Mus musculus: one gene and its partner. The protein of the gene in region 2 purifies or fractionates together with the protein of the main gene of each other region. This does not show direct contact. Links are inferred from orthologs where the notes say so. Each region holds a gene or a part of one and is shown on either strand. Other genes may lie near its edges. The genes, in order: Capzb and Cnot7.

Region 1 (16,205 bases), on a different chromosome or scaffold from region 2:
CGCTGACTTCCTTACGTGTTTGCTGCTTGTTCTTCTCCCATCCTGCTGCTGCACACATGCACACCTATGAGCAAAGGACTGTCGGGTGCCAATGTGCCTGGTTAGCTTTGACCAACTTGACACAGCCACCTGGGAGAGGAGCTGCTTCCATCAGCCTGGCCTGTGGGCAAGTCTGTGGGGGCATCTTCTTGATTAATGATTTATGTGGAAGTGGTGTGAGGACCCAGGCCATTGTGGGCAGTGCCACCCTTCAGAAGATATCCTGGCTTATATAAGAAAGTTAACTGAGCAAGCCACAAAAATAGAGCCAGTAAGCAGCGATCCACTATGGTCTCTTCCTCTGCCCTCAATGTTTAACTACAACCCATAAGATAGACAAACCTGTCCCTCCCCACGTTGGCTTTAGTCAGTGTTCCATCACAGCAACAGAAAACAAAGGAGAACGGGATGATATTGTCCCCCTAGTTTGGCCATGTTCTGGCTAGTGAACTTGGCTAAGTTTCTTTGTACTTCTGAGCATGTCAGCTCATTTCTGTAGGGGGCCACACTCATGGTCACAGCTTAGTGACTTATTACCACTGTCTGATTCTCAATGTGGCTACAACACCAAATCTGACTCCGCCTGGACACCCGGGCTGAAGAACTCACTTCTTTGAAGCTCTTTTTATGGCGAGGTGAAATCAGAGAGTGAAACTATAGATGAAGGCAGAGCAGGCTTTTAGCACCACTGGGACGAGAGATCCCCAAAGGGGCAAAACAGGAGATGTGAGACCTTAGACACAAAACCTCATTTTAACTGGGAGGGTAACAGTTGTAACAAATGTCAAGCAAAAGGAGATCTGAATCCCGGCTCTCCATCTCTGCATCCCCGCAAGGGGACCTTTGTAACGTTTCCTTAAAAGGCACCAGATGTAAAACCTCACCACGTAGGACACTGAGACAGAGATGCTATGCAGACAAGTGTGTGTGTGTGTGTGGGGGGGCACTGAAATGCTCAGGACCACATGCTGATGACGTCTTGGTGACTGTCTGTCTGTCTGACTGAGGAGGAGCCTCTTCCTCCCAAATGTGTCACAGCAACCTGATGCAAATGGAAAGACTAGCCCACAGTCCACAGTTGGGAGCCTTCTCCCCTAAGGTCACTGTTCAAATTTGCTGTTCCTCTCATTTCAATTTTCATGCCTCTAGACCAGGATTGAACCAAGTAGAGATGCAAGATCAAATCCCATCTCAGGGCTCAAGAGATGAGTTTTACATCTCGTAAGGCCACATACAAAAAGGCTAAACCAAGCTCAGCCTTCTGCCCTGTGCAAGCCTAATCAGGTCACTAGCTGGCACCTCTTGGGAGTGTGCCAACCCTCATCCCAGACGGGGGATTTGTACTGACTTTGTACTACTATATATCTAGCACAGAACTTAATTGAAAATGAGATTCTATTGATTAAGCACAGCCTTCTCTGGAGCCCGATCTCAAAGGCGGCGCAGCTGAATGGCCTGGCGTTGGTGGGCCAGGGTGGTGTGCAAAAATTAAGATCACAAAGGAGCTGAAACAGGCACACTGGATTATGTTCACGGAGATGCAAGCATGGGGACCGGAGTTTCGATCCCTGCATACACATGTAAAGAGCTGGGCATGCTGGCAATTGGGCGGGTGGGTATGGGATAAGAAGGACTCTTGGAGCTTGCTAACCAGTGAGGCCTGCCGAACAGAGGAGCCTGCTTCAGCAAGGTGTAGATCAGCAGCAGAGGATGCTTGGCACTGACCTCTGACCTCCTCCACATGCTCATGCATCCACATTCACATGTGCATGCACACACGAACACACACTCATGCCTACATCACACACATGCAACTGAAGGAGAGAAGGGTAAAAAGACTGCGTGAGACCTCAGCTCACTCTGCCCTGGCCACTGGACAGTCTGCATGGGCCCTGAGCTCCAGTCCAAACACAGCTGTAATAGCTAAGAGCTGTGGTGTGTTCTCACACCGATCACAAATTCAGTCAGCCTGAGCTTCACAGACAGACTGTACTTTCACCATGCATTTGTGATTCATCAGCTGTGTTTGAGTCTTAGCTCTGCCCCTGCCCTGGACAAACTCCTTACTCTCTGTATGTGAGGGCTACATTCTGACTGTGTCACTGTGGCATCCAAAGCACCTTACTGTTACTCAAAGAGCAAGGACATGAGACAGTAGAGTGCAAAATACCTGCCCTGTGTTGTACACACAGTAGGCACTCTCCCCACTTACCTGCCACAACTGTCAATGGTAACAGAGTAACATGGTCATGTCTGCATCAGGGAGCTCCAACTTTTAGCAAGCTAGGTGACCAGGCAGCAGAGCGAGGGGAGAGTGCTCAGCCCAGACATCCTCTCATACAAGGTTCTCCCCAGCAAAGCCCCTAGAGCTAGTGTGCAGAGGGTCACTCACAGGTCTCGGTATTGGTCGAAGGCATTGTTGGCCTCTACCTCCAGCTTTCTGAGCCGAGCAGATGGCATGGCCCCATCTTCCAAAGGAGGGTCATACTTGTTACTCCACGGTGACCTGGGAAGAAGGAAGGAGGAGACGGTTCTATGAATCATCCCAGAGACAGTTAGCCCCAGCTCAGCTGCCTGAGGTTCAGGGGCCAAGTCACCAGGAGGCTTTTTGGAGAGTCTTACAAAGCAAAGGTTCAGAAGCCGGCAGACTGACTAATACAGCAAACACCTTAGCTCCAAGCCTCACTTCCTCCGGTGGAAAACAAGGCTACCATTCGCTACTATGTACTATTTCCAGGAACCAACAGAAGGGCAGGAGCCTTGGCCACAAGTCCCAGCGTTTCCCTGATTTCTCTGTGCTCACCAAAGTGGTCAGCTGGTACCCCTCACCTCCCTGATTTGCTGGAGGCTCCTCAGCCCTCAAACAATAAGTATTAAGAAGACGACTATAAGTTACAGAAGCAGGCAGTAAGCCTAGACACTCTGGAAATGGAGTGCCTAGCTCCTTAGGGAACACAGCTGCTTCCCAGTACACTGGGCTAAGCACACACGAAGCCTGGTAAGTCAAGCAAACCCCAAGACCAGCAGCATTTTAAAAACGCTTTTCGCCGTCCCAGGAGAACTTTCAGTCACCGAGGGCAACGAGAGGTCTTTTACAAGGTTTCCTTGTTTGTTCCCAAGGGTGGAGGTCTCAGGCTGCATCTTCAGAAAGACCTAACAAGTGAGGTTAGGGGAGGCTGGAGAGCTCGCTCAGTCGCTGAGAGCACTGCTGTCCTTCCAGAGGACCCAGGATTGATTCCAGCACCCACTTGGCAGCTCCCAACCTGGAGCTCCAGTTCCATGGACCCACCATCCTCTTCTGGTCTCCAGAGGCACTCACATGCAGGCAACACACCCACACACATCAAGTGAAATTTCCAACAAGTGAGGGAGTCTACGGAGGCGGGAGGGGAGATGTGATCAACTGAAGAGAAGCCTTACTTACACCCTTGCGTTGCTACCACAGGGCCGAATACTGCCTTCCCCAGCAATCATTAAGCCTCACACCTTTTCAATCTGGGATTAACATTAAGAGAGGAAAAACATGCTTGCTGTCCCTTGGTCCCCCACTTTGTCCACACAGATATATCTTTCTGGTACCCAGTCTAGCCGTGAGTCACATGAAAGGTGGAAGTGTTTTAGGGGTGGCTCTAGAGGTACAGTGTTCTCAGGGACGGTCCAGGGCGTGTTAGAGGGGGGCCGAGCTGTTGTGTATACTCCCTTGAGGGCTCCAGGATGCAATTCACCTATCCACAGAGAGCAGGGCCTTTTAAAAAATAAATTATTTATTTTATGTATAAGAGTACACTGTCACTGTCTTCAGATACACCAGAAGAGGACATTGGAGCACATTAGAGATGGTTGTGAGCCACTATGTGGTTGCTGGGATTTGAACTCAGGACCTCTGGAAGAGCAGTCAGTGCTCTTAACCACTGAGCCATCTCTCTAGCCTAAGCAGGGCCTTTAGAAACCTGTCCATGTTCAGGTGCCTAGACTCAATTCCCAAACAAAACAAGAAACCTCCGTTCCAAGTTCAAGCCCGCCCACCACTCCCCAACAGAGTTGGGGGGACAACACCCCAAGACCAGCACTAGCTTGAGTCTTTGACAGAGAGGGCCCGTGGGATGTCTGCCTTCATGGGACTCTGACAGACTTTGCAGGGTCTTGCAGACAGGGAGTAAAGTGGAGCTTGGGAGGCAGCGTGTGCTTGTAGTCCTTGCCGTTGTGTGGCAGGTACAGGAGTCAAGTTCAGCCAGAACTATGTAACTAGACCCTATCTCCAAAACACAAATGATGGACAAAGGGAGGAGGCGGCTGAGGACAGGAAGGAAGGAGAGAAACTCAGAGGCTTCTTGCCTCAGATCGCCCAGGCCAGCTGACAGGTGCAGGTGGTCACCACGACTCACAAGTCAGTGAGGTTTGGATCTTTCACTGTGGGACAGTGGGCAAGAACCCCAAACTGTGACCTGGACCCCACCTCCCCATCCCTGCATCTTCTGAGAACCTTCTGGCATACTTGTAAGCAGGGCAAGCCCCCTCTCCACGCCATCTCTTTCACATGGCATGGGAGACCCAGGCAAAGGTGCCTGCTGCCAGGCCCGAGAACCTGAGCTCAATCTCCAGGGCCTACACGGTGGAAGGAAGGACTGATTCCTTCAGGACCTAACCTCTATAAGCGGCAGACACATAGACAGACAGACACACACAAAATGCGGTTTAAAAACAAAGCAATGTGCTAGGACGCAACCACCCATCACCATGCAGATCGGGGCCTGAAGTCTAAGAAGTCTGTAAGTGTGTTACACATTCCTCTTGCCTCACAGACTACAACGGCATTTCAAGACGTTAGGCCTGGAGCCAGGGTAATTGTAGCTAGGGGAAAAATCATAACATTACCCAGAATATTCTTAGTGGAAGGGGCACTCAGAACACATTTAAAAGCTTAAATGGAGGCCATTTGAGAAAAGACAGATGGACAGGAATGCTTGGATTTCAAAAGTCAGGCCTTTCATTTCCCCAGAAGGCTTCTTGTTTCAGCTAACAGGGTTCAAGCAGCGCTGCTGGCAGCGGCCTCACCATAAGGATCTTATTTAAGCGAACGATCAAACACAGGATGGAAATGTGTGGAGAAAATCAGAGGACCTTGAAGTTTCAGATCCAGAAGGGGAGAGGGGAGTCAAGCTTTGTCCTTACTGCCGCTGCTCCCCTGTGAGGCTCCCATCCCCAGAGCCCTCTGGTGTCTGGGGAGTAGGGGTGGGGCCTGCAGGGTGCTCTGGAAGGGCTGAAGCCCTTGAGGGAGGAGTGCACAAGCTGTGCCCTGCCCTGCCCTGCCCTGCCCTGCCTTCCTGCACACAGTTTTCTCACTTTCAGCTTTCAGGTTTAAAAATAAAAAAAGCAGAACCAGCGGCCACTGAGACTGGTCTCAGCAGTATCTTTCCCAGGAAGCCTGAACCGAGCCCACGCACGACTGTGAGGGCTTTCACTGTGCTCATGTGCTCCCTGGCCTGCTCCATGCTTATCACCTTCAAGGAAGTCTCCTCAAGGGTTGCCCTGGTACATGTGCTGGGGACCAGTTCTGTCCTGAGCTGGGGCCTCAGCTTCACAGTGGGGCCCTGCAGTGCTACCCAGATGCCCAGCTCTCAGATCTACCATGTCACACCTGCACGGCACTTCCACACCCACCCAGAAGGCATTTCACATTCCCACTCCAGATTCTTCTTTCCACAGACAGTGCCCACACCTCCCAGCTGTCACTCTGCTTCCAAGCTCTACCCATCAGTACTCAGTCTCTCCACTAATTTCAGTCCCATGCTCAGGTGTGTCATTCCCTAACTAACCTATGGAGTAGGAGGGGCCATCACCACCACTAGTTTTCTTTCTCTTCGTTTCAAACCAAGGACAAGCTCTGTGCCACCCCATACTTGAGGTGGAGCTTCAAGGCTCCCATTGTGCTGGCCCCGCTGTGCTTCTGACCTTTCTTTTACCTTCACAGCCTCCTGGATACCTGCGAGCGAGCTTGCCTCCACCCAGGGCCGGGGACCCAGGAAGCTCCTAACCTGTGCAGACTCAACAACTCATTCTAGAGCACAGTTGTGATCTAGAAGGCCCCACTGGCTACCCACCCTGCCTCTCCCCTCTTGCTCTGTTCTCTTTAGCAATATGTTTGTAATCTCCATCACTGATGCACGTGCCTAACGTTACTAGCCGTTCGAATTCCTCACAAAACAGACTCCAGGAACAGAGCTGGGAGCAGTGCCTGCCACACAGGTAGCACTCAGGATGCTTGTGCAGGCTTTGCTGGCTGAACGATCACTACTGTTTCTATTTTGTAGACCAGAGATGACAAGGGACTGTCAAAGTCTCCATGTCCCTAGGAGGAGCAGGGCTGGTTTACAGCCCACACTGCTCTTCCTGGTCACTGTCCCTGTGTCTCCAAAACCCTCTCAAAAAGAACACTGGTAGTGTGGCCTCTAATAAGCCCAGACCCAGTGTGCTCATCCCCAGGGAAAGCCTGGAACGGTCTGGGATTCTCACACTTGGAAGTTTGAAGAGCGATGATCCCAAGTATGTTGGTCCATGTCTCTAATCCCAGCACTCAGGAGACAGGCACGAGGACTTCTGTGAGTTTGAGGTCAGCCTGGTCTACATAGGGAGTTCCAGGCCAGCAAGGGATATATTTTGAGACCATCTCAAAACAGTTCATTAAAAACATCTAAGCCAGGACCATCTCCCCGGAGCATAGATTCTTCTCAGCTCCCCTAAGGCCACCAGCCAGCTCTGAACTGGCTGTGTGCATCACAGTACAGCTGCTCATCAGCTACTGCCTGTGTTTTCCCGTGCAGGGACCAATGTCAAGTTGGCCACATGGTAATAGCAAAGGAAGGGAGAAGGGAAGGAAGGAAGGACAGACATGCCACCCTATCGGGGCAGTTGGCCCTGAAACAACACGGCTCTTCCATTGGACTGTAAGGCACCAAGGCCCTCTCTCCGAAGCTCAAGGGAGGCGCCTACACAGCCTGTTAGTGGATCAGATGGACAGCTGAGAAGAGGAGAGAGAAGGACAAACAGACGTGTGGGTGGGCTACACGTGCCCCATGCTATGAGGTGAGCCTGTGTGTGAGAGCTCACCTATAGGAGTCCCCGTCTCTGTTGTAGTCACACAAAAGGTAATCCTTGCCCACCACCTTGTCTCTGGCAATTTTCAGGGGCTGGTCAACAGATGACAGGAGATCTTCACACAGACTGGGGACCTGGCAGAAAGAGAGGACAGGGAGAAATGTCATTAAAGTAACAACTCCAATTCAGCTCCAGGTTAACATCTGGCTTGTAGTGCTCTGCCAAAATTTGGAATCTGTCTGCTCCTCTCCACATATGCCCAACCACGGCTCTCTGTAAAGGAACCTGGTCGTGCGTTGTTGTGGGACGTGATTTCCGAGGCAGCCTTCTTTCCAAACCCGGGTGTGGCTTTAATTACCTGGCCACCAGGGTGGTCTTTGAGTATGAGGGGGTGTGTGCTGGGTATTGGTCTCTGGTGGACAAAATACCAGCTCAGGCTCTGAGAAGAAGGCAAACACTTCAAATATACAGGAATGTGAAGAACTCAAAGAAGAACGGGGCTCTGGAGAACTCCGCAGACTCCCATGCTGGGTGGAGTTTCCAGCTCTTTCCAGGCCTCTGGCTAAGCGATACCAGGTTGTCCATAGGTGGCTGTATATACTACAGAGGTGGATCCAGGCTGTCCATAGGTGGTTGTATATACTATAGAGGTGGATCCAGGCTGTCCATAGGTGGTTGTATATACTACAGAGGTGGATCCAGGCTGTCCATAGGTGGCTATATATACTACAGAAGTGGATCCAGGCTGTCCATAGCCGGATGTATATACTACAGAGGTGGATCCAGGCTGTCCATAGCCGGCTGTATATACTACAGAGGTGGATCCAGGCTGTCCATAGCCGGCTGTATATACTACAGAGGTAGATGTCCATATGCTTTCTACAGCAGAGTAATCAGCTCACCTGCAGCTTTACCTGGTCTGTATAGCAGAAGGTGCCGGGAAAACAGCTTGTGGCCCAGGTGGGCTAGAACAAGTCACAATTCCCAAACCCGGGTGTGGCTTTGAGGAAGCAGGCCAGGGCTGCCTCCTCCCAACACAAACATCAGTCTCCATGAAAACATTCCAGGAAGGGATGGCAGCCCTTGCATAAGTGGATGCCTTTCTGTTCGAGTCACTTCTACACTGTTTCCACATCCTGACTTTCTCATCTCAGGGCCTGGGTTTACAGGGACCCCTGCTTCATCTTTTACCAGACAAGGGGCTGCTAACAGAGGGGGCCATGCAGCGCAGGTCCTGTGTCCCTCCCAAAAGCCAGAACTACTAGGACAACCAGGTTCTGATGCTGCATGCTACTGTCTTAGGGCACATCACAGCCTACCATACAAAGTGCCTCTTGCTCCATTGGATGGTCCAACTCTTATACATACACCGCTCCCCAAGGAGAAGCATATACCTCCAGCCAAAGCACGACATGCTTGTTTTCAGAACATGGTTCACGCGCACCTGTGCATTCACCCAACCAACAGGCAAGGTCATTTTCAAAGTTAGCTTTGGTGACATCTCTCTCTATCACCTCTAAGTGCCTGTTTGGATGTTGAACCAGGTATCACAAAGCATGCTTTTTACCTAAGTGCTCCTACCAGGGCACAAAATGGGAAGCTGTTACCTTAATTTACAGATTACAGAGTTAAGACCCAGAATCATTAAGCTGTCCAAGGGTCACACCAACAGCCAGCAGTGAATAGAGAAATCCAACCCTAGGCTAGGTGACTCCCAAACTCCTTCACCCTGTCACTCTGGTCCCTAAGGACAGCGAGCAGTAACGGTACAAAGCTCCTCCCAGCCCCCACTGCAGCTTAGTTATAGCTAGAGCCCTCCACCTGGGACACCCTAGTTGTAGAAGCAAAGTTTCACGGCTTCCATGAGGCAGCCAGGCATGAGGCACTGGCTGAATTTTATGGGCGCGGTGAAATGACCCTGGCACCTTCATGCTGCCCTTCGTGCTGTGGCCTGCCACTAAGAACCCACCTGTGCTACTGGGCTGCTGCTGGGGTCTCCTTACAGATTGTCAAGTCCTGTCTTGAGCCTCCTAGTCCTCTTTGTCTGTCCTCACTGTCTGGGTAGCAATGCTGCCCTCTTCTTCTTCTTTTTTTTCTTAAAAGATTTATTTATTTGTTATATGTAAATACACTGTCGCTGTCTTCAGAGACCCCAGAAGAGGGCATCAGATCTCATTACAGATGGTTGTGAGCCACCATGTGGTTGCTGGAATTTGAACTCAGGACCTTCAGAAGAGCAGTCAGTGCTCTTAACGCTGAGCCATTTCTCTGGCCCCGCTGCCCTTCTCTGTATCTCAATACACCTTGCTGCTTCAGACAGCGGATGCTGAAGGATGCTTGGGAAGACAGATCTCCTTTAGCAGCCAGGCTGGCAAGACGATGCGAGCTGCAAGGAAAGAGGCTCCATTCCTAGCTGGCACAGGAATGTACGTTTGTAATCCTGGCTGTTTAGGAGGCTGAGGGAGAAGAAGGATTTAAGACCATGAATTCCACATCAGTATGACCAGGCCTGGTGGCACAGTCCTAAATATTTGGGAGGCTGAAGCAGGAGGATCCTAAGTTCAAAGACTGGCTGGGTTGTACAGTGAGTTTCAAGCCTACTTGAGTAACTTAAGACCTTGTGTTATGAGAAAACAGACATCCGGGAAGATAGTTCAGTGGTAGAGTGCTTGCCTACTGCACATGAGGTCCTCAATTCAATTCTCAGTGTCTCAAGTTACCAGCAAAACGAACAAATAACACCACTACCAAACCAAAGCCCCAAGCCCAGCCTGAAGAGTCACAGTAATGACAGAAGGACAGAACCAGGCAAACTATGCCAGAGACTAGCCACCCCTAAAGAGCTAATCCCAGACTTCTGCAAGCCCACGCCTCCAAACAACCACAGAAGAACATACACTCAACTGAGCCCTTACCATGGCAGCACACAGTGGAAAACTATGGAGATCGTGCAGGACATAGGATGTGCCCGAGCACACAAGTACCTAGGATGGGTCACAGACAGCTAGTTGGCTCTGCCTGCTCAGGTCCCTAAAAGACAAGTTCTTAAGTTGGGCCATATTTTCAAGTTCTGTTTGCATCAATCCCTCTTCTGATAAAAGACAACCTAGTCTAGAATGACACTGTGCTGTCACTGGAAACAAGTACAGACTATACAGTGTGGCTATACAGTGTGGGAGCAGCTGCCCTAGGCACATGGGGTGTGCGCATGCACATGCGTGTACATTCGTGTACCATGTGTCAGTCCTGCCCCTCATCCTGTCCTCTATCCACCTTCTCAACACTGGACTACTAGCCATCTCCTCTACATGCTAGTTTGTATAAAAACCCTCCCCATTGAGAGTTGGTGCAGAAACTATAGGCTGCTGAGTTAAACTGAATTTTGAGTCACAAGGAAGACGGTTCCAGTTTGACCACCCCTCTAATGTTACACAGGATAGCTGTTTTTAGTTGTTCAATCTAACACTCTGCCATATTCCCCGAGTCTCCTTCAGACCTGTCCCTGACTCCCACTTCTCTCCAGGCATCGTGGAGTTCCACCAATGGACAGCAGAGGACCCTGATTGCTCCTGAACTGGCTGTCCTAATACCAGCAGAGACTCGGGAGACTGTGCCCAGGGAGCCATGAGGGGACCCCAGTCAAGCACCATGTCCCATCAGCTGCTGAGGGTCTCAATCTATGCTTGGGTCCCATGGGAGCAGGCATTGAGGTCTTTTGCCTGAGAGCATGCTGGAAAACAATGGCTCTGTGAGCCAGTCAGTTATCTAAATCTGCGCCTCAGCTCTTCCTGCCCCTGGCTGTGCCACACTCTCGGGGTGTCAGAATCTGCAGTGATCAATGAGCTGAATGACCAGGTCCAAACACCTGAGTCTACTCCGTGCTCCAGCACTGTGAGGAGCAGAGCCAGCATAGACTGTGTTTGGCTGCGCTCCACACTGCCTACGTGACCTACCCCCATCAGCTTTTGTGTGGAACGTCCATCTAACAGCAATGGTGCTGGCCAAACCGGGCTGCTGAGGGTTCAACTTAATTTCCAGTGACTTGGAATAGTAACGCTATACGTCTGTTGGGACAGGCCCTGCCTCCGCCCTGGGCATTCTCACCTGGGTTTGGGTTCAGTCCAAGCACAGCAAAGGCAGCTTTAATGGGAGGCAGGACAGGCACATGTCTGTAGTCCAAACTACCCAGGAGGCTGACTCAGAAGGATCATTTGACTCCACTGAGTTCAAGACCCACAGAGACAACATGGAAAAAACCAGACAACAGTGACGATAAACCATAGAAAAGACGAGTTCTGTCACCATGGGTTCCAATCTATTGCCATCACTCCTTTATCCCCAGGACAGGTTTTCACAGAGACTATTTTTTTCTTTAAGACTATATTCATTCACTCACGCACTCACTCACCCACCCACCCACTCACTCATTCATTTTTTAAGAAAGTGCCCGTGCCATAGTGCAGACACTGAGGTCAGACACCACTTGTGGGAGTTGGTTCTCTCCTTCCACTACGTGGAACCTGGGAATCAAACTCAGGTCTTCAGTCTCGGTGGCAACGCTTTTATGCACTGAGCCATCCTGGTGGCCCAGAGACCTCTACTTTAAAGAAGAGGCACACGGGGCCTGAGAAACAAGCTGACCCAAGTCACACAAGCCAGCGTCTAAGGAAGGGACAGGGACACAGTTCAGCTCGGTTGAGAGGTAAATTGCAGCACTGCTCTTGCCCAAATGGCGTGTTTTCCTACTATCTAACCCAACAGCTGATCGCATGAAAGCGGACACAAATCAGAAGCTTCCGGCCACAGGCAAGGCCGTGTGCGCTGTCATATGGTTCCACTTTGCCTCTTCCTCTTCTCCATTAGTTATTAATGTTGAAAAAAATTGTTCAACCAGAAAAAGAAACTTGAGATGAACCCTTAAAAAAAAAAAAAAGGCACAAAAGCTGGAGTGGTTCAGCTCTCCGGATAATCTAATTCCCGGCGCCCTCGCCTTTCAGAAGTGAACCTTTGGACCTTGATTTTTTTTAAAAAAATGGCCAAATGAACACATTCCATCTTTTGATCTGCCTGCTGGCTGGGAGCCCGCCACCGGAGAGATAAGGATCGAAAGCAGACCCTGTCCACTCGGGTGCACATGCACATGAGTGATGGGGAGCCCGTGGCTGGGGAGCGTCCTGGCTTGCCCCACTCCAGACGAAAGGGTTGGGTGCCAGAGACCTCGATGGCCAGCAGGGGGCTCTGCTTACAACCCGATTCTTCTGTTCTCCCAAGGCCCTGAAGTTATGCTTTTAAGAACTGAAACAATGAAAGCAGCAAGAGTGTCCTAGAGGTGCACATGCCAGCGCTGGAACACAGCACACAACGAGAAATCAGACACAGGTCCCAACTCTGCTCTGCCTCTGTCAGGCTCCTAACCTAGGAACTGGTTTGGAACCATGGAAGAGACTAGAGACAGGAAGACGCACACTAGCAGGACATCTCCAGACTGCCAGAGCAGGAAAGAAACCTGAAGACACTAGGTGAGGCTGGGGCAAGGGGGCCAGCACAAGAATGACAGGAATGGTAAGGAAAACAGGAGGGGGCACCACACAGCTCTGCAGCTAGCAGCCCTGCAAGGCACACAGCAAGACCCAGAAGGCCAAGAAAGCAAGCTGTCCCAACCCAGCTGAGCTGGGAGGACAGGGGAGGAAGGGGACTGAACAGCAGTGTCTGTGTTTACCCACTACCCACTGAGCAGGGCCTGCTCTCTGTGCCCAATCCCAGCACACATAACAGGGTGTGGTCCCAGCTCCTCCAGGCCCCACCTCAGGCCTTCACAGAACATCAGATTCCTAAGCAGAAAGACATACTATAAACCTCATTTGAATACCCTGCCCTGTAGGGTCCTTACTAATACCATTATATGTACCTGTCAAGCGTACCCTTCCCAACTTCAAAATGCTAAGTGAGCCACGAACCTGGCTTTGAGACAGCTGGCAAGATAGTCTTGCTCCTAGATGGCTGCCATAGTGGGCTAGTACTCTGGTGACTGAGGGCCCAGAGCAAATGGAGACGACATGCCCAGCACTGATGCAGAGCTCTGGACAAGCCATGGAGATCCGGCTCCTTATAACAGAAATGAATGGATCAGGACGGGCTTACGTTTTCCAAGGCTGGTAAGTTACACTCATGGTGCACCTTAGTGATTCTGGCTCGGGGAGAGGGGGTGTGGCCCCACACCCTTTTGTCTATCTTCGGGCTCCACCAGCACAGGCAATCGGGAAGCTCTGGCTCAGTTTTAGACCTTGACCATTTCATGGCCAAGGATTAGATAACTTTATCTCTACAGTCACCCAGGACAGGGTTCTCAAAAGCTCACTGCACGCACTCTGTATAAAGCAGTTTCTGTGAGTTACAGACTGTGGAGGCCCTGCCCCTCACCAAGTACAAACTGCACATGCCGAGGGCCAGGAGGGAGTGTCACAGTCACACCAGCTTTTCCCAGTTCCAAGTTCAAATCAGACCCGTTCATCAACGCCAGTGCTAAGCAGCTAGCACCTAATCACTACAAAGCAAACAGGGCCTCATGTAGCCCAGGTCCGCCTCAAACTTCCTATGTAGCCAAGGAGAACTCCGAACATGTGCACCTCGTGCTTCTTTGTCCTGAATTCTGATTATGGGCATGCAGCATAACACCCAACCCAAGACTTTATGCACACTAACCAACTAACCAGGTAAGTACTCTGACCTTCCTTTGACACATGCTCACTATATAGCCTTGGCTGTCTTGGAACTCTGTGACTAGGCTGCCTCCCAGGTGCTGTTAAAAACATGTGGCACCTCTCCTGGCAAACACTTCTTAATATGTATGGGTGTTTTGTCTTCATAAGTGTCTGTGTGCCATATATGTACAGTGCCCGCAGAGGCCAGAAGAAGGCATCAGGTTCCCTGGAACGGGAGTTACAGGCAGTTGTGAACTACCATGTGAGTCCTGAGACGAACCCAGGTCCTCTGAAAGAGCAACTAGTACTCCTAACAACTGAGCCGTCTGTCTCTTCAGCCCCACATGGACTTTAAAGGGAAGTGGGAGATGGGCAAGCCCTGGCTCCTTCAAGCATCCCAGCTCCACATTCCTCTAACAACGGCCTCCCCCAGCTGCCCAGCCCACATTCCTTGCAGCATGCAGTTCAAACATTCAGGGGAAGGAGACCGAGCATGTTATACTCTTACCAAATATTTTTACCTGTTTCCCAAACCAAGCCTGTTTATGAATCAATCTAGGCGCTCCTTGCCCAGGACAGAGTCTGCCAGCTTGGAGAGGAAAGACTTTCTGCCTCTGGTCTTTGGAGGAGGCCCCAGCTCTCTAACTCACTTTTATGTTCTTGTTTTTTTCCTTATCAATCAAAGTGTGGAATCTAAGTTAAGGGAACATTCATCAGACCCTCCTGGCTAGGTGCTCCCAAGTACATTCTTTGCTTTCCAACAGTACCAAAGGCAGGTCTCGAACAGGAAAATCTTGTGAGGGCAAGACCCAAGCCAGGGTCTCCATTCAAAGGAGTCCTGTCCATCAGCCATCACAGCGCCACCTCCTCCTCAGCTTTACCTGATCCCCAAGCCACCTATGTCCCGAATTGAAGCCAAAGCGGGGCTGAGCACTCTGGTTCCTTCCTGGAGCACAGACAAAGCAAAGTCTAGCCCTCGATCCGCTCTCGAATGGTTTCTCAAGCATCACCGGAAACAGCAAAGGTTCTCAGAGCGCCCCTGCCACCTTCCAATGTCACAGCAAGCGCAAATTAAAAAAAGACAAAAGCAAAACTAAAAAACCAGAGCCTTTCTACAATTCCAGAAACTTACATTTCTTACACGCAGCAGAATAAAAACCAACAGGAGGCCGACGGGGAAGTGGCCCCAAGCAAAAAGGAAGGACTTTGGAGACTTGCTGAGCGGCAAGCATTTAGGAGCGATGGAATCTCAAACACTAACACAGAAAGGCAAAAGAGCCCTGCACAGTTAGGAGCCCTTTAATTGGGCAAGATTTGCAAGGCCTGTGGAACTCTGGCGAGCCTCTGGAGTGGAAAGCATGGGGACCAATGGGAGCCACCGACTTCAAGTTCTCTTAGATACACGCCTGAGAATGACACATGGCCCCTGCCACGCTATCCCTTAAAGGCCACAGAGGACCACCTGGCCGAGGAGCCGGACTGTGCTCTTCCTCCACGGGCACCTTCAAGTCTGAGAGGGAACACTCACTCTCCTGCTGTTTCTGAGAGAAAGAAGGTATGAGAAAACTGGGAGCTGGGGTTCTGACAGTCATACATCCCCATGCACAGGCAGAGGATATAAAACTGCACAGAAAAATGGTACGTGCAAGATGGCTGCTCCTGACCTACCATGACCTTCCCAGGCCAGCAGGCCCCACAGCAGTAGGCTCTCAAGGCTATGCTTCCATGCTGTGACTAACTGTGGATCATCAATATGAAAATGAACGTGTGCCCACTGCCTGCTAATGACCAGCACAGCACAGCATAGCACAGACGTGCATCTGCTCCCACCCAGTCTCTGTCCAGCCACCCCACCCCACCGCTGCTCATCCTCAATGTCTCCTCCTCCCACTCCATGCAGCTTTCCGTGCCCCCACCCATCAAGGTGGATGAAGCCAGTCACTCAGAGGCACCCAGTGTGCAGTGATCCGGGCTCCTATTCTACAACTCTGCCCTCTACTCGCAATCCCAGCAAGTGTGGTTACCCACAGGGGATGCTCACAAGATCAGGCCTGTTAGCGTTGCCTTGTAGACACGTAGTGAAGTGAAGGACACTAGACCCCGAGAGTCCAAGCCATTCCCTCATCTTGTCCCCTCAGCTCCATGTAACCCCTGACCTCAGCATGTGCTACCCAACAGGCAGCAGCGTGGGCACGCACTGTGGCTGGGACTGAAGTATGGAGATAGACAGACATAGAGAACAGAGCTAGCACGAGAATGTAACCCAGGAAAAGGGCCACCATGTCAGAGCATCCAAACCGACGAGTCATGGGGCTGGGGGACTAAGGCAAGCCCAGGGTCAAAGGTGAATCTCCAAGAGCGTACTCTGGC
Region 2 (16,205 bases):
ACAGCTTTGGAACAGGTGAAAATGTCCTCCCATGCTCTCCTCAAATGATTACTGTGTTCTTTAGTTTTTTCCTATTTTAACTTCTTCAGGGTTCTTTTTACCCCTCAAATTAATCATCATAGCATTGGGTGTTGTTTGGTTTTTTTGTTTTTGTTTTGTTTTTTTATATAAGATACTCAGTTTGTGACTGGGAGCTAATATCTCAGGGTATTAGTTGGTAAAGCTGGTAGTCTTCATTGCAAGGATGGTAATTTTTGTAGCAGTGGCTTTTCCATTATTCTCCAGGAACATTTGTTTTTTTCTTACTCAGACAAAACTAGTTTTACCGCCAATTTTGCTACTATTTCTACTAATGGTAACATCATAGGATGGTAAAGAAAAGAGTGCATTGGCTGGTGAGGTGGCTCAGTGCTTAAGTGCCTGCCATCATGGTGGATGATCTTAAGTATGATGCTCAGGACTCACATGGTGGGAGAGAACTGAATATGTGTCATATGATGGACATGTGCAGGCGCGCGCGCGCACACACACAATGAAAATTTTAGGCTAAAATTTTTAAGAACATAGTGAAAAATGTTAATGAGAACAAAAGCCTTTGAGAAGATAAAAGTAGTACTGCATAATGTGGGAAGCATCATAATAGCATCTTAGACGTGTTGAAGGATGGTGGAAATTGACCTTGTTGAATGCCTAGAAGGAGCGTGTTAGTGCACTAGGCTCTGCAGCACAGTGTTGGTGAACATTGTCCAACATCATAATAGCCTAGTGGTTTTCATCTCTCTGCCTGTTGTCTGTGCTTGCGAAAATTTTTGTGTTTAATTCTCACATTTGTCCAAGTCAGGGTTCTTTTAGGTTTGCCAGTGTTGTTTCAAGTTTTACCATTAGCATCAAGGGAGTAAGTGCAAAGCATTATTTATCAGGTGTAAATAGAAAGATTTGTGGAAAGATATGTATAGTTGCAGTGTGTGTTGCATTAAGCTTTGCATAGATTCTTGAGAGTAGCCCACTTATAAGAAATACCTACAATTGGAAGAACGCTCTTCAAGTCTTACTTAACATTCTCTGAATCTTGAAGGCATGACTTGTAATACCTAGATCAGTATTAGGTAACAAACATTTAGGAAAAAATAAATACTCTCTATGTAAAAATGTGTCTTTAGACATATTGGTATTTTGGTCACTGTAACTGTTGTACTTACTGTGGGCTTGAAAGCAAGCATGGTTATTAATGTGTGTTTTCAAGCTAAGACTTTGCTTTCTTTGCCCAGTGCTTGATAAACTCTGTAACAGAAAAAGAACATCACAGCCATAGTTAACGAGCACACTGGCTGCTATTGTGTCCTCTTCAGAGCTAAACTTGAGTGTTATGGAGTGAGCAAGCTGGATTATCCTCACCACTGACATAGCCTAAAACTGTTGGCTTGATGGACAGCATTTTCTAGTAGTGTTTTCTCACCTTCTCATTAGCTCCTCAGGTTAAAGGTGAGGTAAACACACTTGCGAGGTGTGGATTTACCCACAGGATTACTGTTAACATTGAAGTATATACATTTCAGACATAAAGAAAGAAAACTTGACTGTAACAGTGTTACACTGTGACTTTATAAAGCATATTTGCTGACATTTTTTTTCTTTTTTACAAAAAGCATGCTTTTGAAACTGCATTAGTATTGAAAAGTTGAAACAACTTTTACTAGTTTCTCAACACTTCCTCCTAGTTGTTGTGTAACTATTATATTTTTGGTATATATTAAGGATTTCTCATTTATATGTGATATTGGTGATATTGTTATTCAGAGTTCTGAGTAATCCGTTATTTGACCTTTTTCTGGTTTTTTTTTGTGGGGTTTTGTTTTGGTTTTTTTTGTTGTTTGTTTGTTTTTTGTTTTATTTTGCATAGCCCTGGTTGTCTTGAACTTGCTTTGTAGACCAGGGTGGTCTCGAGCTCAGAGATCTGCCTGTCTGCCACCTAAGTGGACCTTTTTCTTAATGTACTGTGGTATATCTAACTATGCTGTGGTTGGATGATTAGGGTCTATGCTTTAGGTTCTTTAGTGAGCCCTTCACATGGCTCCTGACTCATGATGGCTCAACTTACACTTTTTGACTATATACAGAAGTAGTATGCATTCAGTGGATGAGACATTAAATTTTGAATTTTGTGCCATTTCTTTGGCAGCACTGTATACTCTTGTACAGTGTTGGGTAGCAGTAGGAAGCACTGTCTCCCAGCTGGCTGCTCTTCTCTATGATAGCTTGCATTACACTCTGCTGCCAAGCATTTAGGTGATGTAGTAATATTTTCACCTTTTGTTACTGTCGTCCTAACTTCTAATGAGGTTATCAGGTTATAACCTTGATCATGGAGTATCTGTATATTCTTCGGAAACTTTGTGGTTAATTTATTGGAAGTTGAAATCTAAATCCAAAGATGAAAACCTTGTTAAATTTTATGTATTCATTCCCAGAAGGAATATTTCAGTAAGTTTTAACTGGGCACATATGTGCATATTAAGAAACAAGCAGGCCGGCTTGCTACTGTTTTCTGAAAGTTATAGTCTTTTGCAAATTGGAAACTTCTGCCCAGTTTCATCCATCAAAAGAATAAATAATTAGTCTATTTTAAATAGCTTGCTATTTGGACTTGTGAGAATACTTCCTATTTTTAGTTGTCTTCTTGTCATTCATGGACTTTGCAATTTTAGATATATTTTTGTGTTATTACTTTATTTTGAGCTGTTATTTGAGTTTATTAAGGTCTATTGTTATTAATTTAATTTATTAAAAACTAAAGATGGCTAACCATTAGTATAAAAGTAAGTGACATTTGAAGGAGGTGCTATATCGACCCTATGGTGGGCATCTGGGAGGTGATCAAGAAGTAGTTTAATGTTGATAAGAACACGTTTAGAAGTGTGAGTTCTTATAATAGGGTTTATTCATATTATAAAAATAGGAAATTTGGTATTTTTACATGATTGAGTTAGTAGATAGTGCATCTTTAGGATATTAACTAAGATAGCCGTATGTACCTATGCCTTTTGGAAAATCTTCGGAGATTTTTACATGTTTTTTACTCATGTTTAGTCATAACTATATACTTTGCTAACTTAAATCTGAATAATAGATGTAACAGGCAGTAGCCAACACCAGATGAAATTCTTACAGTTTGACTAAACAATGTTATAGTTACTTTTTAATGTTAGTTTTAGTATTTTTCCCTTTATTGCTAGAATGTTTGAGAGTAGAGAAAGCAGAATGTAGAACATCTAAAGTTGGTACCATCAGAAAAGGATTGTACAGTGATTTGGAAATGAGACTCCTAATTGCTATCAAATTTACCTTACTGTAGGAAGTTTCCTTCATCCTCTCTAGAGATTGACCTCACCATTAAGGTTATGAGTTGGGTATTATAAAGTATGAGTTCTGTACCAAACTTTACTATAAAAGACTCATTCTACAAAGCTTAGACTGAGTTATATAAATTTTGCAGAAGAGAGAGAAAGAAAGGGAGTGTTCATGTGTCTTTGTTTGCCAACCTTACTTTATTATAAAATACCGAGGTCCTCCTCCAGGTCTCTCACCTGGGAATTGTGATTCAATAGGTCTGGGACTGCATTGGGACCTGGGAATCCATATTTTTGGTAAGTTCCCCTGGTGATTATTATCATTGGGCAAGTTTGGGAAATAATGACTTAAATGCACCAAGACTCACTATCCTACCTTATTGATGTATTATTTAATTTGGTAATGGTTACATAATGTTGACTATAATAAAATAACTTGAGCATGTGGCTAAGAGCAACATGAGCCTGGAGAACAGTCTACTGTATTCTTGATTGATTAATCGTGTTTAAACGAGCTTCAGTGTGAGCCCAAGGACCTCATTTAAGGGACATATTTTTAGTATAACAAACAATTTAACCGAGGGTAGTGGGAGGGCCTGCATTGAATTTATTCTGATATCTTTCCTACAGGATGTTTCAAGAGAAAGCATGATGTTTGAAAGTGATGACTGTGGCTCCTCTCTGTTTTTAGATGCTTCAATTCTTAATTTTGTCATTTAGTTCCTGACAGTCTGGGAACTAAACTGACCTTTGAAATTGATTTCCAGAGAATAAGCTACAAAAATACATCTGATGAAAATCAAACATTAATTTTGGTTTTGTTAGTTTTATTGAAGTCTTTTATAGAAATTTTCTTTTGCTGATGGTAGAAACCAATGTTAAGGTTTTTTAAAAAGTAAATAAAAATAAGTGATAAATCCACAAGATACTTTTTCATGAATCTTCAACTTTTTAATATAATACTTAATGTATTTGTGCTTAGAAACTATAGGTGGCTTTTTGTGTGGTTTAAGTAAAAGTTTGAAGAGCTGGTTTATAGTGTGCTTCCTGGCTTGGTTTAAGGTAGTCGTCTAGGATTGTATTTGCCTCTAATGTAGGTATGTGATTGCTGAAGAAGAAATGATGTCATAACTGAGTCTTTATCTGAACAGTTCACTGCTTAACTAGAGCCGCTGAAAGGCTCCTCATTTGTGAGAGGAGGCATCTCCTTTTTCTTTAAGATGGAATGTAGTTTAACTCAGCCACAAGAGATGTTGGCCACTTGGTGTCTCCTTCCTGGTTCTGCTGAGAGCATGAGAGGTGTGCATAACCCCTCATGGCTGTGGTTACAGCTCCATCTGGCAGCACTAAAATAGCTGCAGAGACTGAAAAGAACATGTCTGTGGTAGCCTCTGGTGAGTAAAAGACCCTTTTTAAGCCCAGTGAAATGTATGTAATGTTTAGAAGCTGATGAAATTGAGTTGGTGTTAAGGGTGAACTCACCATTGGACTTTTTGAATGATTATTTACTTTTTGGATACCTCATATTTTATTTTTCTTGATCATTGTGAAGCATTTGAATGGTTGGACATAAACCAATCCTCTGTCTTGTTTCTGCATTGTAGTTGTAGGCATAAGTGGAGAACAACTGTTTAATGGGAATTTTGAACTTTCGTTTTCTTTCTCCTGCCAGGGAGGACATGTATGCTCAGGACTCTATAGAGCTACTAACAACATCTGGTATCCAGTTTAAAAAACACGAGGAGGAAGGAATTGAGACCCAATATTTTGCAGAACTTCTTATGACTTCAGGAGTGGTTCTTTGTGAAGGGGTCAAATGGCTATCATTTCACAGGTAAAAAATAAATAAATAAATAAATAAATAAATAAATAAATAAATAAATAAATAAATAAATAAATAAATAAATAAATAAATAAGGGGTTGCAGTGTGCTTCTGTCCCATCTGCCTTTTACGTCTGTCTGGGTTACTGTGTCAGCAGTGTTGTGCTTAGCTCTAGAAGGAATTAGCTGCCGTGAGTCTGTCTAGTACCTCACTGAGAACAGTGCTGTGGATCTTTTAACAAAACCAAAACCACACATACCTGCTCTTGGGTGCGTGTACCAAAGATCTTCTATGGTAAAACTTCTCCTCCTTCAAATTACAAGTAAAATAATAAACATCAAATAAAAGTTGATTTTGTTTGTCCTCCAAAAGATAGGCTCAGTAAGGTCATTTGCCAAATAATGAGTTTAAATTATAGGTAAGAAAAAGATACTTTATAGCTATAATTCCTCTCCTTTAACCCAGTGGAGGAAACTCATGAACCTAAAGGTCAGCACCAGCAAACGCTTGTTGTACGGAGATGTCTGGGGTTGGGCTTCAGGGAAGGCTGGCACAGGCCCTTCACAGGAGGACTTCAGGAGGGGAAGGAGTTAGGCCGCTGTGGGAAGACTCGTGATAAAGGATGTGTGACGTCAGTTTGAGGGAGCAGGGGGTTGTATTGTATAAAAAACCAGTTCTTACTTTTCCTTAGTTCCTGTCACATTTAACTTTTCCATTGACAACTGTCTCGGAGAGTTATACTGACATAGAAACATTTGAGGAAATGTACATCTTAATTAAGTCACTTAGTGGAAATGAAATACTCTGTTAGGGATTTATTCTTCGAAATTGGAAAGTGTCACCATCTCATGTAAATGGTGACAAGGTTTTACATGATTTTTGCCTTTGGCATGTTAAGTCTTGCTGGTTTATTACATTTTCACATACCTTCCCATTCACTGTGGCAGTGACCTTACTGAACCTATCTTTTGGGGTGTGCACTTGCATGTCTGTGTGGTTGACATAAAACACTCAGCTTTTACTTGGGTATTGGGGGTCAAAAATACTCATGTTTGAACATCATCTCTCCAGCTTACATATCAGAAAAATGTTATTTTAGTGACTGTAGAGTTAAATTTATACTATCATGTGTTCAAGATGCTGAGTGATCAGTTTCTGCACTGTAGTTATGGACGTGTTTCTTTTCATTGTTCCTGTGTGTACGTTATTGTTAATCCTTTTGCCTATAGTATGACTTGTTTAACTTTCTATCTGAAAAACTAATTTCTTTCATTGTATGGTATTAATGTATTTTTTTCTGAATTATTTTAATCTTTTTATTAGTGGTTATGACTTTGGCTATTTAATCAAAATTCTGACCAACTCTAACTTGCCTGAGGAAGAACTTGATTTCTTTGAGATCCTTCGGTTATTTTTTCCTGTCATTTATGATGTGAAGTACCTCATGAAGAGCTGCAAAAATCTCAAAGTAAGGCTTCAGATGACTTTATCCGGAACTAGCACATTAGTTAGCCCAATGAGTCTCAACCTGGAAGTTGAACAACCCTTTCACAGGGATCAATTATGACCATTGGAAAACACAAATATTTATATTATGATTCATAACAGAAAAATCATAGTTAAGAAGCGATAAAAATAGTTTTATGGTTGGGGTTCACCACAACAAAGCTGTATTAAAGGATGCAGCATTAGGAAGGTTGAGAAGCACAATTTAGACCAAGTAATTTCTATAATATCTTAGGCCTGAATGTTTTAAACCATGTTTTAGAAGTTATGTTAAGCCGGGCAGTGGTGGTGCATGCCTTTAATCCCAGCACTTAGGAGGCAGAGGCAGTCAGATTTCTGAGTTCAAGGCTGGCCCGGTCTACAGAATAAGTTCCAGGACAGCCAGGGCTACACAGAAAAACCCTGTCTCCAAAAAAAAGAAAAAAGTTAGTTAAATTATCTGATCCTATTCTTAATAAACAATCTCTCTTCAAAGCTGCGGTATTTATCTTAACAGGATAAGGTTTGTTTTGGTTTTGTGTTTTCCTTGGTTGGATTTTTGTCTTGTTGTAGATACTTTAAATTGTATTTTATGTATGTGGGTATTTTACTTGCATGTGTATATGCACTAAATGTGTGCCTGCTGTCTGAGGAGGTTAGAAGAGGGCATCCCATCTCCTAGATTATAGTTATGGATGGTTGTGAACCACCATGCTGTGTTGGGGCTGAGCCTGTGTCCTCTGCAAAAACAGCAAGTGCTCTTACCTGCTGAGCTATCTTTCCAACCAAGTTATCTTACCTGCTGAGCCATTTTTCCAGCCCAGAATAATGTTGATATATTAATTGCATTAAATATATTTAAGAGGGCTGGTGAGATGGCTCAGTGGGTAAGAGCACCCGACTGCTCTTCCGAAGGTCCAGAGTTCAAATCCCAGCAACCACATGGTGGCTCACAACCATCCGTAATAAGATCTGACTCCCTCTTCTGGTGTGTCTGAAGACAGCTACAGTGTACTTACATATAATAATAAAATAAATCTTTTAAAAATATATATATATTTAAGATACACACACTCTCACTCACTTCTGTGGAAGTTTACAGCAAGAGGTAGCAGAGGCTAAAAGAGAGAGTGTCAGACCCTCTGGAACTGGAGTTATGGGTACTTGTGAGCCACCTAGTGGGTGCTAGAAACTGAAATTTGGTCCTCCACAACAGCTGTGCTCTTAGCTGCTGAGCCAACTCTTTAGTCCCCAGAATAAATTTTTAACAAAAGCCAAGCTAAGGGCCATGTTTTTGTTATTGATGCCAGATTGAGGGTCATCAACTGAAATGAAAGTGTGAGGTGTACACTGACAGAGCCCTGTATTACAGAGGTTCTCATACTCCCAGCACACAGAACTATCACAAGCATACAGATTGGGGTTGGCCAGCAGGGGGCAGAGACACTCAGTAGTGTTCTAAGGTGGTTTTCCTTCAGATTATCCTGACTAGAGACTCTCCTTTATTCTTTCTTGTTAAAGTATGATGTTGTTATTTTCGTAGCTAAAACTGGTTAGGCATAAATACTATATAGTAAATGTGTAGGTTCTATATAGACAGTAGCTTATTCTGATAATACTGAACATATGTAGCCATGTATTTTTAACCTTTGGACATTAATTTTATCAAAACAAACATTTCCTGATTAAAGAAAAGTACTACTTTGGCTCAAGAGCAAATTCCCCTGAGTTGGCACAGATCCCTGGCAATACACTGAGTGGGTTTTTAGTTGCTGGATTTTGGTGTGATATGTTAAGTTATAACTAAGGAAACAAGTGTATGTGTAGCCAATATTGTCCCTGTCTTCAGTAAAACCAAGGTTGGCCAAGTTTTCCCTATCTAGGTTTTAGAAAAATACAGACAGAGCTTTGCTTTAGGAAACAGTAAGGAATTTAATAGTTTTTCTTAAGCAAGAATAGAGGAATTATAATGTGGAAGCTTTAGTTTCAACAATTTACTGAGAATTGTAGGACAGAAGTAATTTGTCACTGTTGTAGGTGTGGTGCCAAATAACTAGGAGAACTTCTTGAAAGATTATCTCATGACTGTCAGTTGAAAGTCACAGAATCCTGTGTCATTTGAGGTTTCCTCATAAGTGAACTCCAGCAGAGTATTCTGACTACTTACACTGATGAGTGGCATGCTGAGAATCTAAGGCTCCCACCTGGCTGGCTCTGGAAGTTTTTGGTTTTGTTTTGTTTTGTTTTGTTTTGGTTATTTATTTATTTATTTTTGGTTTTTCAAGACAGGGTTTCTTTTATTTATTTATTTATTTTTGGTTTTTCAAGACAGGGTTTCTCTGTATAGCCCTGGCTGTCCTGGAACTTACTTTGTAGACCAGGCTGGCCTCGAACTCAGAAATCCGCCTGCCTCTGCCTCCTGAGTGCTGGGATTAAAGGCGTGCGCCACCATGCCCGGCTGTATTTTGTTTTTTTAATTGACAGCTTGGTATAATGATAGTTTTCAGAAACAGAGTCCTAATTTTTTATTCTTCTATATATTCAGAAATATCTAAAAATATCAAATATTTTATTGAGTGCTATGTGAGCTGCTCACATTAAAAGTGTATGTTAGCAATAAGGTGCTACCAGTCATTCATATCTAGTCTGCTGCTGTGTTCTAAGCAGCTGCCAAGGATGCATGGTGCACACAATGTTAGAAACCGTTGCTGGCAGGAGTCCTGTCAGGCTAGGATGTGACTACAGGATAGTAAAGGCTTTGTATTTTAAGGAGGAAGTTGATTGGTAGTCTGTTCTGTGTCTGTCTATTTCTTCTCTTTTCCTTTGACACTCGTTATTTTTCTCAGTCATAGCTATAGTAATATAAGCAGATCAGAGCAACCATTCTAAAAGAGTTGTATATTTGTAAAATTCTCTTTTTAGTTGAGAAAATGGAAATTATGTGGTAGATTGACAATGACAGTGGTCTGAACACTCATGTTGTCTTTGTTTTACTAAGTTTTAAATACTTTAGGGGATGCAGATATTTTTAATGACACTGAGTATGGTTTATTACTGTTACCCTGAATATGATCTACTTCCTTCATATCTCTGGAAAGTTGTTAAGGCATGCTTAACTTGCCTTAAGATGTATAATTAAAATAAAATTTTCCTATTAGAATTTCATATTCTGGTAAAAAAAGGCTTTTATAGTCCACAGATAAATTACAGATTCATATTTTATCAATCCCCTTGCCATCTTTACAAGGTTCATCTTTACATATTAAAAATGTATTCATATTTTTGTCAGTGTCTAAATCTGTAATTGTGAATTCCAGTCCCAAAGTCCTCTCTATTTGACAAGCAACTTTTCTTCCTTCTAGGGTGGATTACAGGAAGTTGCTGAGCAGTTAGAGCTGGAGCGCATAGGCCCTCAGCACCAGGCAGGATCTGACTCACTGCTTACAGGAATGGCCTTTTTCAAAATGAGAGAAGTATGAAGACATCAGTGCCTTTTTCTTGGTTGTTAGGTAGAGAACATTAAAGGTCTGATGACAAAAGTTTTGGGCATTAAGAACCTACTAAGTGAAGATATAAATAGAGGTACTATATAAGTTACATCCACCACATTTGAATGAAAATGTTAAATAAGTCCTCCTGAAATGTAACGCAAAAGGAAATAGAATAAACTCTTTATAGAATAAAAAAACATTATTTATTCTACTGAAATATGTTGTTTATAGAATAAAAAATTAGGTGATTGTAGAGATCATGTACATATGAACATGCTGTTTTTTAAGCTAAAAAGGTAATAGTGAGGGAACTCAACTTTCTTAGACCCCATACGAGCCAGGGAGTCGTACCTTCTTTTTCTAGAAACTGGTGGCGAAAATAGATTTGCTCATGTCATTCTTCATTGCTTTAAAGGTTTTATAAAGTAGAACTTAACAGTTTTTACTAAGTCTTAAAGGCTTTTTGAATATATAGGTATTAATTAAATCTGAAGTCTGACATATAGTTGAGTCAAAACTATCAGGAATTCAAGTATAAAATTGTTAGGAGTAGAAGGATGATATGTAGTGGAACTGAGTGTTTTTAGGATAGATAACTAGGTGATAGATGTCGTGGTTACTTCATTGCTGATAATAATAAACAAATTTTAATTGTATACCCACACACACACACACACACACACACATATATACACACACACACACACACACATGTATTCTATTTTTGGTACACTGTGTGTGTGTGTCCTATTTTAGTTTGGTATAAATGGTACAAATATATATATAAAATGTGCCTACAGAAACACATTTTTATGAAATAGTTGCTGTGGAATTATTTTGAGTATATTCTCTTGGTAAAAACATGCTATTGACAGAACGCATTTGACTTGTTTTGCCAGGTAGTATTGATTCAGAAGTTATTTGAATTGTCCACTCACGTAACTAACTTAGTTTCAGTATAGGACCACCTTTTGGATTTTTTTTTTTTTTTTAGTTTTTTTGAGACAGGGTTTCTCTGTTTAGTCTTGGCTGTCCTGGAACTCAGTTTGTAGACCAGGCTGGCCTCGAACTCAGAAATCCACCTGCCTCTGCCTCCTGAGTGCTGGGATTAAAGGCGTGCACCACCACTGCCTAGCTGGATTTTTATTTTAAAATGTCTTATGGCTAGTCAGTGGTGGAATTCTGGCACCAGTTTGTTATCCTTATTTTCCTTTTTATTGTCTTCTTCAAGGACAGTGATGTAGTGAGAGTGTTAAGGTTTACTGTCTATACCATGCTTAGGATTTTGTTAATTTTAGTCAGTTCACCCTTGCACCTAGACTTAAGACAACCTAAGATGGTATAATGTCTCCTCCCCTTCTCGACATTACTTCTCATATTCTGTGAAGTTTGTTATGTTAAAGAAATGAAAATGTCTGCCATGTTTTTTATGCTCATAAGTTCTTATTAAAATGAGGTAAATGTTAACGAAAAATATTTTTGCTTTTTAGAACGTGTCCTTTAGGCCTGTAGTTAAGGGCATCAGTCAGTCTTATTTATTAAATATGCAGCATAGCTTCTCAAAGGAACATCACAGAAAGAGTTAGTAGCAATTACAGTGTTGAGATGTAAACTACAGGTTGTATCATTTGCTTAAGATGATTTTTTTTTCTTTCAAAATTTTCTTTTTAGATGTTCTTTGAAGATCACATTGATGATGCCAAATACTGTGGTCACTTATATGGCCTTGGTTCTGGCTCATCCTATGTACAGAACGGCACAGGGAATGCATATGAAGAGGAAGCCAGCAAGCAGTCATGACAGGAAATAGTCTTCTTATTTTTATTTTATACGAGTTACACACATGCTTGTATATAGGTTTTATCATCCCTTAAATAATAGGCAATACCCCCCCCCTTTTGTAGACCTTCTCTGCTTTCAGTAATAAGTATGGCCTTTCTTAGCTATGATCTTAATAAATTAAAGTACATTCAGGTTAAATCTGGCCTTAATTTAATACACTTCTTATCAAGCTTGTGTGACAAAGCTACATTACTGAATAATTTGATAAACTTTGCCTACTTGAGCTTGGTTTTGTTTTTCCCTTTTCCTAAATTAACTAGCATTGAGTGTAATTTATTTCCCTCTTCCATGCCTCTCCTTCTATTCTGCAGTACTTATAGGTATTTAAGATTGTGGACCATCAAGTTTGCACTTTAGAGAGTGATTTCAATCCTCTATTTTATCAGAAATTGTGATTTTTCTTGCTCTTAGCTAGAAAAATAACCATCTACCACCTTTTTACAGTATTTGCTTGTTTTTGACATTCAGAGTACAGCACGTGCATTGTGCAAATTGTTCAACAGGAATAACAGAAAAAGACAAGGAACTACTGAAGAGCCTAGTAACTACTGTTTCTGTGTGTAGTGTTTAGCCTTCCAAGCACATCTCATGTCTGTTGGTTTCTAATTGGCATGCATAGGCTGCTATGTGACTGAAGAATTTCAAACCAGCTTTACACCCTTCAGGAAGAAGCCCTGTGATTGGCTATCTCCTCTCTGCCAGAAGGCTGGCCATTAAGATGTTGGAGCTCCAGTTTTATGACAGCACCGCCTCCCTTGATCGGCTTCCTTTTACTCCATCACTTTTACCCTTACTGTTTTATTTTATAAACATATTTATGATGTTCTTGATTTGTTAACTACACAAATCAATTTCATTAAAGTCCAAAGATAACAAGTCTTAAGGTACATTTTATATCAATAAAAATACAAAATAAATGTGATTTCATAAATGCTACAAAAATAAATAATGGAGAGATTTGGTGCAAAACAACAAAATGCAAAAAATATATATAAATACACACATATATAGCTAATAAAATTACCTGAGGAGTGTAATGCTTGTTTATTTTTTTGTGTATATCTTTGCAATCTATTTTATATATATTGACAAGAGACTGTGAAATATTTAGCCATGCAGAATATGTGACCAGACCAGAGCATGTGTTGGAAGATTTTGGTGAACATTAACTCTACCCTGAAGTGATGGACTACAAGTTGTAATGTGTGTTATCTACACTTCAATCGATATTAGCAAGTCTCCAACTGTTAGCAACATAGTTCGTTTCCCTTGTACATTCTGTAAACATGATATGAAAATGCTGTACCTGGGCGGTCCTTTTTAAACTAAACATTATTTGCAAAACAGAGGGTATTATTTGTTTTTAAAGCTTTTGTAAATAAAGGCTTCAAAAATGTTTTCCTATATGGTTGTGACTGATGGCTTTGGTTTTGGGGCTCTTATTTAGAAGTGTTGAATACTTGAGCCATTTTCTTTGGGTAACAGGACTTCACTAGGTGGTGTGTGTGTTCTCAAAAGATTGGTTTAGTTTTTATTAGTGTTCAAAGTTGCAGTAAGGCCAGCTGATCCATAAATCAGTTCTCCAGCCCAGAGCCTGGGCCATAAAGCCTGGCACTCTGACCCCTTTGTATCAACTGTATTCCTTTCCTTGCCCTTTGTTAATTACCTGACTGAAAGAAATTAGAAGTCTCTGGGTGTAGAAGCTCACATCCGTAATCCTGCTGTTGTGAGTGACTGTCCTGAGTCAATTTCCACTGTCTTGGTGTGTTCAGCTGCACTCCCTTGCAAAAGGATTTTTCCATGCTGGTCTTTATCTGATTACATCCCGTTTAGGCAGGATGGAGAAGGCCAAAATAGCCTCACTTGAGTATCCAGACACTATACTGTTGCGCAGCTTTTCCTTAGTTGTACACGTCCTGGGAGAGGCTAGAGGTTAGAGACCTGGAAGATTAGGGGAAAGGAGTATATGCAGATAATGAGAAGCCCTCCTCCCTGTTTGGTAAAGACTTTCTAATTACAACTGTTGAAAGGAGTATCCATACCATTGCTGGTAACCCTCACATTATGCTCTGTAAGGAAACTCCACAAACTCAGTGTTTCCTCAGAGTGAAGGTGGGCCATGGTTTGTCCTTGGAACCCTAGGAAGAGGACTAATTTTATCTCCCCAGGAACACCTAGCATTGGGGAGATCCAAGGAGGATCTTGAGTTTGATAAGAGTAGAAAACCCTGGCTTCAATCCCCTTTAACCTCCAGAAAGGATAGAAGGGAATCTCTGTCTTTTGCTTTTTTAAGACTTACAAACTAAGTATACTTAGCACAACCTTACTGTGACTTATTTTGAAAATCCAAGATGAAGCAGTGTTCTATGGTTTCTTTTTCACCTTCCTCTCAGAAACTGGAACTGCTTGTTCCGCATCTGTTGCTGAGTTTCCTGATTTGTATCAATTTGGCTTTCTTCTCTAGAAGTCACTTTTGCTCAGGACTGTTAAAACCTTACTAAAATCTCAGCTTTGAATACATTTGATCCAGTCATCTGGAATCACCAGTCTTTACAGAAGAAAGGTTGAACTGGTCTATAAGGCAATCTGCTGTACTTTTGTGTCTTGCAAACTGAGAATTTAAAAACCATTTTTTAAATGGTTAGACTGTGTGCAGAACATGTCCTAACATGTAAATTATATGAAATTCCAATTTCAGTATCCATAAGTGAAGGGGTTATCGCAGAGAAAGGACCTTCAGTTGGGGAAATGCCTCCATGAGATCCAGCTGTGGGGTATTTTCTCAATTAGTGATCAAGGGGAAAGGCCCCTTGTGGGTGGGACCATCTCTGGGCTGGGAGTCTTGGGTTCTATAAGAGAGCAGGCTGAGCAAGCCAGGGGAAGCAAATCAGTAAAGAACATCTCTCCATGGCCTCTGCATCAGCTCCTGCTTCCTGACCTGCTTGAGTTCCAGTCCTGACTTCCTTGGTGATGAACAACAGTATGGAAGTGTAAGATGAATAAACCCTTTCCTCCCCAACTTGCTTCTTGGTCATGATGTTTGTGCAGGAACAGAAACCCTAAGACACTTTTATTCCTTTCTTTTTTTGAAGACAGGGTCTCAAAAAAAAAAAAAAAAAAGTCAGGCTGTGGTGGCTCACGCCTTTAATCCCAACACATGGGAGGCAGAGGCAGGTGTATCTCTGAGTTGGATGCTAGCCTGGTCTACAGAGTGAAATCCAGAAGAGCCAAGTCTACACAGAAAATCTGTCTGAAGGAAAAACAACAACCCAAAAGCCCAAAGTTTGAGTATGTAATTATGGCTGTCCTCAAACTCACTATGTACTCAAAGAGATCCCCCCTCCCTCCTATCTTCTGAGTTCAGGGATGAAAGATATGCATGACCACACTGGGATTTTTGTTGTAATTTTTAAATTTAGGGTTAAGAGCAATTTTTCTGAATGAGAACTTGTCCTCAGTCAACTACTGGGGCAGTGACTTTGGCTATCAGCTTTTATTATAAGTTTGGCAGAGTTCCTTAACAAGTTTGCCTTAAAATTACAAAGCAAAACAATACCTTTACTGCGTTAGTTTTCAGCAAAGACGAATCCTTTAAATCAGAAGCCTTCCAAGTTGTTCCGTACTCTAGGTGCTATTAAAGTTTAAATGAGGGCTGGCAGAAATGGCTCAGTGAGTAAAACTATTAGTCTGATAACTCGAGTTTAACTTCTGGAGTCCATATAAAGAGCTGGATCCAAAGTGTGCATTTGCAATCCCAGCACTGAACCTGCAGAAGAGCTCAAGGATAGCCTTGGAGTGAGTATGGAGCAGCAGTAGCAGCAGAAACAAAAGAGACCCTGCTTCAAGATGAAAGGTAAGAACAGCTCTTTAAAGAGACCCTCTTACTTTCACAGATGGCATGGTGACTGCGTGTGCACACCACACGCACACACATATGCATGTGCCTAAAAAAATTAAAAGATATTAAAGGTCTGAGAGATGGTTCAGTGGTTAAGAGCACTGGCTGTTCTTGAATAGGACCCAGGTTCTACTCCCAGCCCCCACACAGTTGTTCCCAAACGTGTGTAACTGTCCCAGGGCATCTGATAACCTCTTCTGATCTCCACAGGGACCAGGGACACATGGGCAAACAGACATACACATAGCTAAAACCTTCATACAATAAAAATAATTTTAAAAACATCCAGGTGGTGGTGGTGGCAAATGCCTTTAATCCC

The links.
Region 1: the proteins of Cnot7 (region 2) and Capzb purify together in Homo sapiens (co-immunoprecipitation; 3 studies listed by BioGRID and IntAct, with this or other methods). This does not show direct contact. The link is inferred for Mus musculus from reciprocal best matches to the Homo sapiens genes CNOT7 and CAPZB.

The regions. Positions count from the first base shown.
Region 1 is NC_000070.6:139,248,324-139,264,528, reverse strand, and holds part of Capzb (F-actin-capping protein subunit beta), read right to left. Parts: intron 7,269-16,205; coding exon 7,147-7,268; intron 2,546-7,146; coding exon 2,432-2,545; intron 1-2,431. UniProt on the Homo sapiens protein: F-actin-capping proteins bind in a Ca(2+)-independent manner to the fast growing ends of actin filaments (barbed end) thereby blocking the exchange of subunits at these ends.
Region 2 is NC_000074.6:40,489,728-40,505,932, reverse strand, and holds the end of Cnot7 (CCR4-NOT transcription complex subunit 7), read left to right. Parts: intron 1-3,605; coding exon of another isoform or gene 3,606-3,644; exon of another isoform or gene 3,645-4,741; intron 4,742-5,019; coding exon 5,020-5,181; intron 5,182-6,493; coding exon 6,494-6,638; intron 6,639-10,017; coding exon 10,018-10,128; exon of another isoform or gene 10,129-10,237; intron 10,238-11,817; coding exon 11,818-11,946; 3' UTR 11,947-13,395; downstream 13,396-16,205. UniProt on the Homo sapiens protein: Has 3'-5' poly(A) exoribonuclease activity for synthetic poly(A) RNA substrate. Its function seems to be partially redundant with that of CNOT8.